Linked DNA regions of Cricetulus griseus. The protein of the gene in region 2 interacts with the protein of the main gene of each other region in a pairwise test. Links are inferred from orthologs where the notes say so. Each region holds a gene or a part of one and is shown on either strand. Other genes may lie near its edges. The genes, in order: Maz and Bptf.

Region 1 (7,655 bases), on a different chromosome or scaffold from region 2:
CTAAATGTGCAGACATTTGGCAGGGTTCTGTGCAGTCTGCTGCTGGGTTGTGGAAGGGAGGATAGCATGAGTAGCTGGCTAGCTTGGGCATCCCAAACCTCCAATGGGTATTCCTTAGAGACGTGGAACTTGCTTTCCACAGCCTCTGGATTCTTGAGTACACCCTAATCTGTGCTGTAGCTAGAGGCTGTATCTCAGGTGGGGAGTCAGTAGTTTGCAGGGCAAGAAAAGCTGGAACTAAGATGAAGGCCAACAAAGAACCCCCGCCCCCCTTACACACACACACACACACACACACACACACACACACACAGAGAGAGAGAGAGAGAGAGAGAGAGAGAGAGAGAGAGAGAAGGGGGGACTTCTCTCTTAAGTTGGTGAAGCTAACTTAAGAACCCAGAGACAAATTTTTTATTTAAAATTTATTGTAATGGGGTCTGCGCAAAAGGAGGGAGGGGAGGGAGGGAACATGCAAGGGACACAGGAACACGATGACATGGCCAGGGCCACAGCTTCTGTTGTGGGAAAGAGGAGAAAAGACCAGGGCTGGAGCTGGGGTGGAAGAGGGAAGGGGGAGACACCGTGGCTGCATTCCCCCACCCCCAGGAAGCACCTCTAGTCCCTGGCTCTCCTCCTTTACCCTGGCCCCCTAAGATTCCATCTCTCTTGTTCTGCCTCTGGCCCTAGTGGCTCCTTCTGACACTCCCCTTGGCTTTTCCCTGGACAGATATCCAGTAGGATGTTTAGTGTTCAACCACCCTACCTTACTGAAAGTATCCCTCTGCCTTCCCTTCTTCTGTCCCTCAGTACCACCGTATCCCTCCTCTGGGACAGAATCTTAGTCCCCCTCCTCTCTCTCCTCCCTCCCCCTGGGAAAAAACAACAACAAAAAAAGAAAGCACCAACTCCCCAGGAAGGGGCAGCAGACAGTAGGAGAGGGGACTGCAGGAGGAGAGCACAGGACCTTCTAGGGAAAGGCTCACAAATCCCTGGGAGGAAAGGCAAGGGGTTTAAAGGTTGAGGGCAGTGACTGCTGCTGTCCTCTGCCACCCCTGCTCACTGTCCAGGGGACTTCAACACAACTCAGGGGACAGGTGTTTGGAGGGTCAGCTCTGATAGGGAGAAGAAAGGAGCAGGAGAAACATTGTTAAACCTAGTGAATTCCTTCTTCCTCCTCTGTCTGGAGGCTCCTTGGTTGATGGTGAGCAGTGAGGAGTTGGTGAGAAGAGGAGACTGTACCAAGAAGAGCTTTCCTCTGCTCTTCCCCTCGCTCCCATCAACTTGGAGCTCACCAGGGCTGGGAGGGAAGTGGCTGAGAGCTCACTGGTACCCCCTCTGCCCCAGAGAGGGAGCCCACAGCTGTGGGAGGGGCTGCCACTGCTGCTGCTGCCGCTGCTGCTGCTGCTGCCGCCGCCGCCGCCATTGGACAAACCTCACCAGTACCTACAGTGAGAAACACCAAGGATCACAGCACAACCTGAATGGCAAGAAACATGCTCCATACCCTCAGATTTCCCAACTATTTCCCTACTTCCCCTGGGACACAGCCGTTACTTCCTATCTGGCCCCCAGAGACTCTGACCTGCCTGACTTACCCACACAGCAATTCTGTACTACCTTCTCTGGACCCCAAGTCTCCCTAATCTGAGTGACAAACTGGCATCCCTGGCCTTCCTGAGATCCCCTATTGGGCCCTTTGAAGTCCCTTGTCCCACACATCCCATCCTGCCCCCCCAGCCATGTCCCACGCCTTGCCTGGTGGGTGCAGGGGTCCCCCTCAGCAGGTAGGCTGTGGCTGGGGGGCATCTCCCGGGATAGGAGGGGCGGCCCCCCCCAGATGGGTCTGCATGTGGCCGGCCAGCTGGGCAGGGGTCTTGCAGTGCACGCTGCACAGCTTGCACAGGATGCGGTCAGCCCGCGGGGCCTGGAGCCCATGGTCCTTCACCGCGTGGATGCGCAGGTATGCTGCTGTGGTGAAGCCTATGGGGGGGGGTGGATTGGGATGGGGAGTGGGGGGTCAGCCTGGTGGAGACCCCAGAGACAGGGCTGTTCTCCTAGGCTGGGGACACCCTCCTCACATGGCACTGTCCTCCTCCCACCACATCCTTGGTAGGCTGGGGCCAACTACTCCACTGGGACATAGCCCTTCCCTGAGCTTGGGGCCTGGTTTGCATGGTACCTGTTTCTTAATCCTTAATACCTACAGAGATCTTCCCCCATAATTGGGAGATCTCTCCCAAATGACAGGACACTGTGGCCTAGCTTTTTGAAGGGTTGACTCTCAGTAGAGACGGCTGTGTCCCCCCCTCTCCAGTGCCCTGGTCTCAGATCGTATAGTGAATAACCACACTGAAAACAGCTTTTTGTTACTGGGCAGGGTGTGTGCTTGTTACACCCGTGCTGATGTTCTCGACTTGCCCCAGGAGCTGGAGACAAGAACTTGTGGCTGCAAAGTTGAAACCCTGGGGACTGGCTTTCTTGAGCCCACTTCATTTTCCCCAGGCACACCCAGGAGGTTGACTCTTTGGTGCACTGTCTCCTCTGGGCCATGGCATAGAATTTAGTGCTCAGTTACTTCCAATGCTGTTGTGCTTGCTTCTTAAAGGGCTCTCTCTACATGCCACGAGCTCTTGGCTACAGCACCCTTAACCCACATCCATGAAAACAACCAACAGCGTTGTGCCCACCTACTCCCACTTTGTCCCTGCCCTCCTGGCATCCCTTAGCATGTACCTTTGTTGCAGAGCTCACAGACATGGTGAGGGCCCTGGCTGTGCACCTTCATGTGGTCCGAAATATAAGCGGAGCTCAGCATCTTGCCACACACATGACATGGCACCTTCTCCTCGTGTCGTACTGTGTGCGCTCGGAGTCGATCCTTCGTAGCAAAAGCTGCCTCACATTTCTGGGGGGGAGGGCGTGGGGGGGTCACAGGAGAGTTAAAGCTTCGGGGAGTAGAGAGAAGGGGGCAAGATAAAGGGATCAGAGCCTTGGGGGTCTTTGATCTGTAGGAAATGGGCGTGAGATGACCAGGCCTTGAAGGAGAAATGCGAAAATGGAGTGAAAAGGCAAAAAGAGAGAGAAAAAGGGGGTCTGAGAGGTTGAACTCAGACAGCTACAGTGAGGATCAAAATCATGAAAACCAGGACAGGAGGCAGCGGGCTTCCTACCTCACATTTGAAGGGCCGCTCTGTTGAGTGCACTTGTCTGACGTGACTGTTGAGGTGATCCGGCCTAGGGATATGTTGAGGTGGGGGGGGGGTTAGGGCTAAGGCTCCAAGGTGAGATGCTTCTCAAATCTGCCTAGATTTCTCCAAAGTGCCTTTCCAAGAACCCCAGAATTTTCCCCTACATCTTTGGTCCTTAGACAGGAAATCGCTCAAAACAGGATTCTATCTCTGCCCAGAAGCGGCTTTCCTCCAGCCCAAAGACCCACCTCCTCTCAAGTACCACCCCCTGCTCCCAGTAACCACGAGGCTCACTTCCCTCCTCCCTGGGAGTGGTTCCTGTCCCCAGCATCGGGAGCCGCCTCCCCACCAGCCAAAGACAGGCCACCTTGTTGCCCTCCCCCCACCATCGGCCTAGTGGGCAGCCGAGGCCCCTGCACACCGGGAGAAGCTCTTGCCACAGTGGGAGCAGTTGTAGGGCTTGTGCACAGCGCCGTCATGTGAGCGCACGTGGTAACTCATGCGGTCCTTGCGCTTGAAGCGCTGCTGGCACACAGGGCACTGGTAGGGCTTCTCGTCCGAGTGCGACAGCTTATGTCGGTTCAGGTGGTAGACGTCGCGGAAGGCCTTGCCGCACATCTCGCAGGCGTGATTCTTCCGGATGCGCTTTCCAGAGGCGGTCGTGGTCACAACGCCACCGGGCGCCACTGCGGCTGTGCCTCCGCCAGCCCCGGCTTCTCCCCCTCCCCCGCTGGCCCCGCTCAGCTGGGGCACGCTCAAGAGGCTCAGGGGCACCATGGTGGGCATCTTCATAGCACCCGAAGGGACCCGGCCAGCCTTGGCTCCTGTGTGGATGGCTTCGTGCCTCCGGAGATTGTAGCCGTTCTTGAACTCCTTGGCGCACAGGGCGCAAATGTAGGGCCCCTTGCTCTTTGTCTTCTTCTCCAAGACAGATGCAACAGGGGCCACAGCGACTGTAGAGGTTGGGGCGACGACAGCGGTGGCTGCCGCTGCGGCGATGGTGGCGGCCGCGGCGGGGGGCGCGGCTTCGGCGGCTGGTGCGGATACGGCAGGGGGTGGCGGAGGAGGCGCCGGAGGCTGCTTCAGGGCCGCTGTGTCCACTGTGGAGGCGGCAGCAGGGGCTGGGGGTGCAGTAACCACTGCAGCGGCAGCAGCTGCCGCGGCCGCAGCCGCCGCGGCCGATTCCTGCGCGGCGGCGAGGACCGGGAGCAAGTCCACTTGGAGGGGCTCGGCCGCCGGGGCCTGGGGCGTGGGTGGGGGCGCCGGTGCGGCCTGCAGAGACAAGGCGCCGTGTGGGCCGCGGTCGCTGGTCGGCGCCTGCCCGCCCGGCCCGGCCCCTACTCACCTGGAATGGACTCTGGGCGCAGCCCTGGGAGGCAAAGAAGCGGGACTGGAGCTCAGCCCCGACCTGCAGGGGGTTCTGGGCGTGACCCTGAGGTGGCGGGAAGGAGTTCATGAGGCCGCCCACCCCCCGGGAGTCCAGGCCCAGCACGGGGAAGGGGGGGGCCAGCAGCGTGCAAGGGAACACGGGGAACATGGCCTCGGCCACAGTGGGGCCCCCGGAGCTCAGCGGGAGCCGGGGGCACGGGCCGCGCGGGGCCCGGGCTCGGGGCGCCGCCCCGGCCGGCCGGGTTGGGCCGAGCCGAATGCATGGCCCGAGGGCCGCCCGCCCGCCGCGCACCCCGGCCGGCGGGAGGGAGGGAAGGAGGGCGTCTTGTGGGGCGCGGAGCGCGGCGGCGGCGGCGACGCCCCTGGGTGGGGGCGAGAGGCCCGCGGGGCGAGGGCCGGGCCGGGGGCGGGGGCCCGGGCGGCGCGCGGCGGCGGCGGGTGGCGGCAGTTGGAGCCTGGCGGGGCGGGGTGGGGGGAGCGAGGGAGCAGCTTCGGCCCCCGCCGCGCGCGCGCGCCCAGCCGGCGCCTCGGGAGGGCGGGGAGGGCGGAGAGGGAGGGGGGACAGCTGCGCGCGCACCGGGCGCGCGGAGGGGGGGTGGGACGGGAGGGAGGGCGGGCGGGAGGGGTGTGGGAGGGGGGGCAGGGGCGGGGGGGGCGGGGGTTGTTACCTGGAAGATGAAGCTGCTCCAGTTGCTGGATCCATGGCGGAGGGAGGAGGGAGGTGGCTCGCGCTCACCCCGGGGCGGGAGAGCGGCGGTGGGGGAGGGGGGCCTGGGGGAGGCGCGCAGGGAGGGAGGGGGAAGAGGGTGGGGGAGCGGAGCACACTGCGCGCCGGAGGGCGGGCGGGGGGCGCGAGGACACACAAGAGGCTGGAGCGGGCGCGAGCGCGAGTGCGCGCGGGGCCAGCGGGAGGGGGGAGGCTCGGGAGGGACTCTGGAGGGAGGAGGGACGGGGGAGCCACCCAGCAGCCCGAGTCGCCCCGAGCGCGAGACCCTCGAGACAGCTGCTGATTGGCTGGCGGTGGTGCAGGTGGTGGGCGCGCGGGAGACTAGGCGGCTTCTCTTCCCCCACTTCAACGATTCCACCCCCCACTTCCCTCTGCCAGCAGCCGTTATTTCACGCGCACGCGCACACAACAGCGGCGTCGTCCAGAACAGCGTGGGGAGCGCGCAGAGAGAGTTACAGTGGGGCGGGGCTAAACTAGAAGCGCGTGCCCGCCTAACGGTCGTTGTTCTTAAGCTTTCCGCTTCGGCTTTTTGATTCGCCTAGGCCACCGTCCCCTTCCCATCCCAGTGGTTTATTTACAATCTTGGACTAGTTCGGGGTTTCCCAAAGATGGCGCCCAGCTAAGTGCCCCGCAGAGCGCTCGATCCTGATCCCAAGGGCAATTGTGGCTCCCACCCTAGCCCCGCCATCCTAAAAAAACAGGCTCAAGCATGGGATAAAAACTGTATTTACACAAACACGTCATTATACAAGGATTTTAAAAGAAAAAGGTAGTGTTAAGAGCTGGTAGTCAGGAGGGAGCGGAGTGCTGGTCCGCAGCCAAGCTCAAGAGGTTCGCCTGTAAGGAAGAGTAAAGCGCGTCAGTGTAGCAGCCGGGTGTGGTGTGGGGTCGGGTGGCAGTGGAAGGGGTGGGTGGGGTTGGGGCACAACATGTAGGCTGGCGGAGAAAGGGCAGAGGCGTTCCTACCTTCAGGAAAGACTCCACCTGCTTTCCAGAGATGCCTTCCACCTGTTCCAAGTCCTCCACCTAGAGAACAGCGGCAGTCGGAAGGATGTGGACAGAGAACCTGACTGGGCACCCCGCCCCACCTGCCTTCTCTAGGTTGTTACCTTGCTGAAGGGGCCGTGGAGCTCCCTCCAGCCCATGATGAGTTGGGCCTTCTTCTGGCCAATGCGTTGCAGGCTGCGCAGATCCCGAGCTGAGCCTTCATTCAGCAGATCCAATAATCTTTTGCGCCCATGTGCCAGTAACTCTGGGCTAATCTGTAGCTCCCAGCAGTCCTCAGCCTTTTCCACAGGCTCGGACACATCGGATGGCTCCGGCTATGAGGTAACAGGAATAATAGATAGCAAAGGCCTGTGGATGACTGCCAAGACCTTACCTTCTCCCTCCCCACTCTGGCACTAATTTTGTTGGATTTGTATAATTACTAGCATTTTTCTCAGTTGCCGTGAAGATTCGATGAATAAATGAACATACACATCGTCTGACTAGGAGTTTATAGTTCGTTGTAGAGCACTTAGGTACGCTTGAGGACTGGGGTCTCAATCTCCAGTACAGGAGAAAGAAAAAACAGTAAGCACCCTACCTCATCCTGACAGTTTGGGACAGTTCTCCTAGTGTTCAGTTTATGTGAATACCTGTGTGAGAGGTTCTTAAATACCCGTCATTTCCCTAAATGGTCTCTACAATTTATAGAGGCAGGAGCTAGGCTATACACTAAGTCCAGCCAGTATCCAATCTTAAGTGCAAGAAGCATCACAAAGAAAGGAAACTGACCGCTGGGCGTTGGTGGCACACACCTTTGATCCCAGTTCGAGACCAGCCTGATCTACAAGAGCTAGTTCCAGGACAGCCTCCAAAGCCACAGAGAAACCCTGTCTCAAAAAATAAAAATAAAAAAGAAACTGACAAATGGTGGATACCTACTCCACTAAATACACCCAACATTTCATCCAAGTCTTTAAAGCGTCACCATATGCAAGAGATTCCCAATGGAAACCAGGGTGAGGTCAGCTCACCTTTCTTTTGTGGCCTCTCTTCAGGATATGGATCTTCGACTCTGTCTGCTTCTGAACTGAAAGCAGGAATCAGGAACCGGTTAGGGCACAGGCAACCAACCTCCTTCCCACCCTACCTCCCTGGTAGCCATTTGCTTCTCATATTTCTCCAACCTGAGCTTTTGTTGTTTCCAAATGACTTTTTTCTTTCCTTTTTTTTTTGAGACAGGGTCTCACTCTATAACCAAGGCTAACCTGGAATTTAGAGCAATCCTTCTGCTCCCCTCTCCTGAGTGTTGGGGGTTACAGGTGGGTGCCACCATATTCAGCCAATACCCTTGTATGACAAGC
Region 2 (6,880 bases):
CTGTGCCCATCAATTTTTGAATGTCAAACTCACAAAGTGCGGTAAAGGAGCACTATGCACTTTTTTTTTTTTTTTTTTTTGCTTTTGTTTCCAATAAGATAGTGGAACCTTAGACAAAAATATTTTTTAAAAAAGGGAACTGATGTGACACCTCTGTGCCATCCATTTTGGAATGGACTCTGGGCTGCAAGACACAGTGCTGGCAGATTGATTAGGAGCAAGTCCACAAAGCGCTTTGGGAAAGCAAAGAGGCCACAGCAAGCTTGTTTTTGACAGAAAAGGACATTGCTGAGGACAAGCAAGACCCATGAGCGTGTGGAACAGCCCCCTTACTGCACTGTGTCAGGCCAAGTATCAGATGCAAGATGAAGCCCAGCCTCACACTGGCTCGCCCTCACCCGTGCTGCCAACTGCTCACTCAACAGCGAAGCTGGGGACAGGCACTTACTTGGACTCGTCGTAGGGCGTCTTGCAGATACAGTACAGCCGGGTGTCTTTCTTGGCCTCCTTGGAGGTCGTGGAGATCATCTTCTTTTTCTTGGATTTGGAGTCCTTCTCCTCCTCCCGCTTCCTCTTCTGGGAAGCGACAGGCAGTGGGGTTGTGGGGTGGCCCGCAGATGGCACACTGTGTGCCAAGGGAGGTGAAGGAGGAGGTGGGGCTGGAGAGGCTGCTGCTGGTGGGGCTGGAACTGGCGCTGGCACTGAGGGTGTGGACACTGCAGCAGCACTGACCTGTACCAACTGTGCCATGTCTCTCTCTCTCTTCATTTTCAGGTCTCTCTTCAGCTCTTCCTGTGGTCAAGTGAAGACAGACAGACGATCACCAGGGTTATGGGAAGGAGCAACCTGGGCAGGACCTGGACATTATCCCCACCTGGCAAATATCACCCACAGTCCCCCCACCCCTGCCCCACACACCATTCTTTTTGTTTTTTTGTTTCTCTGTATAGCCCTGGCTGTCCTGAAACTTGATCTGCAGACCAGGCTGGCCTAGAACTCAGAGAGATCCACCTGCCTCTGCCTCCTGAGTGCTGGGAAAAACCGTGTATCACACTCATTCAAGCAGCTCCTGTTAGGAGTCTGCACAGGAACCAAACACAAGACTCAAAGCAAGGCCTGGAGGGAGTAAGAGAAAGACTGTCCTTGTTTACCATGCTTTGCTTGGATTTAAGATAGTAGACCTAGGCAACAAAATACACAATGTTCTAACTGGGTGCATAGCCCGAGCTATGACAGAGAAGCAAGAAGATTACAAATTAAAGGTTGTCCTTTGCAACACTGTTGAGCTTGAGACTCATCTGGCCTACGTGAGACCTTGTCTCAAAACAAAACAAACAAACACCTCCCAAAACAACACTAGTTTCTCTAAACATGCTTAGCCAAAAATGAGTACCCTGAGCCCGTGAGATGGTTCAGTGGGTAAAAGTGCTTGTCACATTTCTACAGAGATGATGAGAGGCTGGGATGGGACCCCCCCACACACACACACACACTGACCTTAGGGCTCAACTAAACTGGGACACTTTTTTTGTTTTGTTTTTCAAGACAAGGTTTCTCTGTGGCTTTGGAGGCTGTCCTGGAACTAGCTCTTGTAGACCAGGCTGGTCTCAAACTCACAGAGATCCGCCTGCCTCTGCCTCCAGAGTGCTGGGATTAAAGGTGTGTGCCACCACTGTAAAGCTTGTAACACTCTTTTAAAATGCTAATCCACCCTGTCTCAAAAAAATCCCAACACATGTGGCTGGAGGGATGGCTCAGAGGTTAAGAGCACTGACTGCTCTTCCAGAGGTCCTGAGTTCAATTCCCAGCAACTACATGGTGGCTCACAACCATCGTTATGAGATCTGGTGCCTTCTTCTGATACATGGAAGCACAATGTTGCACATATAATAAATAAATAAATAAATAAATAAATAAATAAAATCTTAAAAAAAAAAAAAATCCCAATACACCAACTGCAGCTGAAAAAGGGCTGTAACAACTGCCTGTTGCTCTTCAAGACATGCAGAGTTTCCAGCAGATGAGCAACAGTGGCTGCAATAAGGCTAACTGGATGGAACCCTGGCACCTATAGGAAGGAGTCCTACACATTCTAAAGGAGAGCCTGCCCTGGACTTGGGGTACAGGTCATCATCCCAGCATTCATGAGGCTGAAGCAGGAGGCCCAGGAGTTTGAAGCCAGTCCTGGGCTAAAGATCCTGTTGGAAGCAAATCAAAGGCAGAGGCTTTATATAGATGTTTATAGAAAGAGAAAATGAGCACTTGGGAGGCAGAGGCTGGCGGATCTCTGTGATTTTGAGGCCAGCCTATTCTACAGAGCGAGTTCTAGGACAGGCTCCAAAGCAATACAGAGAAACCCTGTCTCAAAAAACAAACAAACAAACAAACAAAAGAGAAAATGAAATAGAGAATAAAACAACTATAAGAATTGCTTCCCAAGATTTCAAAAATGGCAACAATATTTTCTTAGTATTTTGTTTTCTGTTTTACATTTAAAATTTTATGTTTTTCATATTTATTTATTTATTTATTTATTTATTTATTTATTTATTTATTTATTTATGAGGCATGGTCTCACTATGTAGCTCTGGCTGTCCTGCAATTCACTTAGACCAGGATGGCCTTGAATGCCTCCCAATGGTAGGATTAGAGGTATGAACCACCAAGACAGGCCTGGAATAGTCACTTTAATGTCACGTGCAAGGCTGTAACTTATAGGTTTGATGCTCTGTGAATAGCTAGCTCTCTTAACCTGCACTGTATCACAGCACCAAGTATGGAGTTGTATTTTAAGTTTTCTGATTCTACTGTGAATGGACTCTCTTTCCCGGGATACTGGGACAACAGTTGTACTCAGTGTTAATACTAATGCTGGCAACCTTAATTCTGTTAAAATTTTATTATGGTTTCCCTGGGGATGTAATGTAATAATTACACCACACACAAAAAGAATTCTGTCTTCTTTCTTGAAGTTTGTGCTTCCTTCTTTCATCTTCCTCCAGTGAATAACCTGATTGCTGGCTCTGTCTGGTTTGTCTTCTGTGGGACCTCCAGTCTTTCAGGTTATGTAAGGTCGTTTGTTGGTTTGATGGGTATTTTAGTAAAATGTACAAAATCCCTTATTTGATGCTGTCAACAGCCTGCTTCTTTGTCAGAAAGCTCTGTAAATATTCATGAATGGATTAATAGTGCCTACAGTATCACTTTCAGGGTAGGAAAAATTGCACAAATGTGTTTTCCCATGTTCACATTACTCTGCATTCTTCTGAAATGTGTTCTGGATGAACGATGACACAGACAATAAAAGCACACCACATCCAACATAGCTAAAACAACTCAGCCCATGCTGGGCGGTGGTGGTGCACGCCTTTAATCCCAGCGCCCAAGAGGCAGAAGCAAGTGGATCTCAGTGAATTCGGGCCAGCCTGGTCTACAGAATGAGTTCCAGGAGAGACAGGGATATACAGAGAAGCCCTGTCTAGGAAAAACAAAAGACGAAACAAACAAGAAACCCAAAAAAGCTCAACCCTCTTGGATTGGAGGAAGATAAACTTCCATGCTACAAACACACAAATGTAAATTCTAGAACAGGAGCTGGCATTTTGGCAGGTGTGTCCAGCGCCTGTGGGGCGCTCGCTCCTACCTGCACCTGGATCTGCAGCTCCTTGTCCAGGAGGGCCCTCTTTTTCAGGATCTCGGCTTTGAGCTGCTCCTTGTGTTTGAAGAGCAGAGCAGAGAGCTTGCTGGCATTCTGCTTGCTCCGCTTCTGCTCCACACTCTCTTCGCGTTTGCGTTTCTTTGCCGCCTGTTTTTCTTCTTTATCTATCTTATCCAGAATGTACTTCATCACCTGGTTACACACAATCATTCTAGAGGAAAACACACAACCTCTGTAACACTGGCTGTTCCACCCTGAGAGGTAAGGCACCATTTGTCTACATCCCTAGATGATGTACAAACGCACTGCAGAGTTTCAAGGAGCATCTATGGCCGCTCCTGGCATTAAACTTGGGTAAGACCAAAGCCAAATCAAACTGTGCAGATTCTCAGGTGGGCCTGTGTCTCTCCCTACCTTTGATTTTCTTCTCTTTCAGCTGGAGTCATGGTCTTTTTCTGTTTTAAATGTTCTATTACAGCATTATGCTTCATCACCACCTTGAGAACAGAACAAATGCATAAATGCACACTTTATAACAGACACAAGTTCAGCTAGCACACAGGTAGAAGTAACAACACACGCCGATTTTACAACTAGTAAGAATTGTGTAACTAATACAGATAAAAAGACAGCTGCTAGGTGGTCCCAGGGTCTTACCGTGCACCAAGTACTGAATTAAGCTAAGCACTTGACATTGTTTATTCTCCATGGTAAGACTGAGATGTAGGGATACTTTTTTTGTTCTCAAACACTGAGACACAAAGCAATCAACCAACTTGTTTGAGATTAAATAGTAACACAGCCCAAAACTTTCACCCAACTCTCATGCTCCAAAGGGCTTCACCAACTGTAGCCACCAGGTTGAAGAGTACCCTGCCCCTTACAAAGATCTGGAAGACAGGTCCTGGAGTAACACTCAGTTTACACATGAAACAATACAAGAGCTGGGATTTGAGTATGTCACAGAGGACTTACGTTCATAAAAATAACACCTTATACCTTCACAACCACATACATGATGGGATTTAATCATAACACTCCCATGTGGTTGCAGAGAGACAAGTTTAATGCGGACACAGCTCAGGGAGAAAACAGTGCTTCAGAGCTTGCTAAGACTTGGAACCTCTTGCCTAGTGCTGAGGGGGGCACGTGGCTGATGCCAGAGTGTCCTCGGGAAGACTGCAGGTCACCAGCTTCGTTCTGGCAGAGCTCTGGCTGTCTACAGTGACTCCCTCACCCACATACTAGTCCAAGACGCCCCTGCTGCACACCACCGCCTTCCACGGACGCTACGGACACACATCTGGGTTTAAGACATTTTTACAAAGGTGTGGCAAGCGATGCAAATGAATTCAGTCTGCCCACAATTTGCTTAGTCGATAGGCAAATGAAGGAATGACACTTGCAAATCAGATGACTTCAACTGAATCACTCCATTTTGATGGTGGCCTCACCACTTGGTTTCCTACCAGGGAAAGGCTACATGCCCATTAAGGAGTCCCAAACCAAAATGGGCAAGCAGTGTTCTGGTCTTCTGAGGCTATCCACCAGTGACCATGTCTCAGTCAGGAAGCCTACCACAACCAAAGCACTAAGTGTACCACACAGCACAGTAATTCACACTACCCAACATGCTGCTTTGACTTAATGTCGTTACCTGTTTCTGAATGACTTCCCTCTGGGCAGAAGCTTGGAGGGTGTGTTCACGCTCAATCTCTATCTGCTGCTTCTTCTTTTGCTGCTGCTCCCTGAGATGCTGAACCCTCTGCAACTGCTCTTGCAAACTGGCTGCCTGCACTGTGACCACACTCTGAACATGCTGAGTCTGCACAGCACTGCTTTGCTGAACTTGAATGGGTAACTGAAGTTTGATTTGCTGGGGCACACCACCTTGCTGAGCCTGTATCTGAGCCACAACCTGTGACTGGATCTGAGAGAGAACCTGGACTTGCTGGAGCTCAGGCACAGCAATGACTTGGGGCTGCAGCTGCTGTGTTTGTAGCTGAGGACAGCATGGGGATGAGACAGTAACTTGACTTAATGTTTGTCCTGGAGAAAGAGTTTGAGTTGAAGACTGTACCTGGGGCTGTGACTGTGGCTGGCCTTGGGAAGGTGTCTGCAGAGATGTGGGGGGCGGGATTGGAATCGGCTGTGAGCTTGTAGTCTGAACCTGGGGTTGCTGTCCAGGAGTCACTTGGGATGGAGTTGATGGACGTATTCGAGTCAATGATGGGCTCTGGGCACGAACAGGAGACTGTCCTTGGACATTGCTCTGAGGCTGACACTGTTGCTGGGGTTTAGATGACTGTGTCTGGGAGGGCTGTGCTTCAGAAGGGGTTTGGGACGAGACTTCAGGCTGAGCTGGGGACTGGGGCTGGGGCTGTGCTGCAGGCTGAGGAGTCTGTGGCTGGGCTTCTGCAGGACTCACACTTGATGACTGAGCTGGCGCCAGGGTAGTGGCTGGTTGGACCTGGGTCTGAGGTGACGATTTACTCTGTTTTTGTTCCCCCGAACCTGTAAAGAAAAAAAGACAAAGTGATTTCCCTGGCTTTAGTATGCAAGACTATGAGGGTATTTCCTGAAGCCTCGGGTTCGAGGAGGACTCAGAGTAGCCATCTCCTAGGCTGGGGAGCTGGGATGCTTCCTGCATGCTTCCTGTATGTCACCTAGGTGTTCTGAGGCACTCAAGCTTCACGCTTCGGCTATGGCATGGCAACAGGCACTGATGGCTTACAGGAGGCTGGTTATGAGCTGTGTGGACTCACCCTCCTTAAGCTCACCTCCAGGGCTTCACCAGGATTTTGTTTTGTTTTAATCAGGAAAGGGGGGTACAGGGAGTCTAGGAACAAGGCATGGAAACACAGAGGCTGGCTGTGTCAGCAGTTCAGCTGTTAAGCAGGCTGGAGGTGGAACATTGGGCCCTGCTACTCGAGAGGCCAGCAACGAGTGGCAAGACAGTGTTTCTACCTGCTGCTGTAGAAGCAGTGGCGGGGCTGCTGCTGCTGGTTGTGGCCGTCGTTGACAGTGGGGTAAAGAGGAACCGCTGGACAGTACCATTGGGCATCGCAGCTTGCATGAGCTGTTGCCCTGGCCCTGGAAGGACGGTCATCCCCTGAGGTATCAACTGCAACTGTCCAGTAGTTTGACCTTGTCCTTGAATTACTACTGTTAAACCTTGGTTGCCGCCCTGTGGAAAAAAGCAGACAACATAAAATATACGGC

What was found.
Region 1: the proteins of Bptf (region 2) and Maz interact in a two-hybrid assay, tested with the Homo sapiens proteins (2 studies listed by BioGRID). The link is inferred for Cricetulus griseus from reciprocal best matches to the Homo sapiens genes BPTF and MAZ.

What each region holds. Positions count from the first base shown.
Region 1 is NC_048596.1:73,726,413-73,734,067, reverse strand, and holds Maz (myc-associated zinc finger protein), read right to left. Parts: upstream 4,859-7,655; 5' UTR 4,726-4,858; coding exon 4,534-4,725; intron 4,461-4,533; coding exon 3,610-4,460; intron 3,235-3,609; coding exon 3,171-3,234; intron 2,906-3,170; coding exon 2,734-2,905; intron 1,981-2,733; coding exon 1,778-1,980; 3' UTR 1,756-1,777; intron 1,444-1,755; downstream 1-1,443. Other genes in the region: kinesin-like protein KIF22, read right to left, coding at 6,094-6,141, 6,271-6,330, 6,414-6,626, 7,326-7,381. UniProt on the Homo sapiens protein: Transcriptional regulator, potentially with dual roles in transcription initiation and termination.
Region 2 is NC_048600.1:119,991,720-119,998,599, forward strand, and holds part of Bptf (nucleosome-remodeling factor subunit BPTF), read right to left. Parts: intron 6,846-6,880; coding exon 6,626-6,845; intron 6,173-6,625; coding exon 5,316-6,172; intron 4,156-5,315; coding exon 4,073-4,155; intron 3,870-4,072; coding exon 3,644-3,869; intron 793-3,643; coding exon 449-792; intron 1-448. UniProt on the Homo sapiens protein: Regulatory subunit of the ATP-dependent NURF-1 and NURF-5 ISWI chromatin remodeling complexes, which form ordered nucleosome arrays on chromatin and facilitate access to DNA during DNA-templated processes such as DNA replication, transcription, and repair.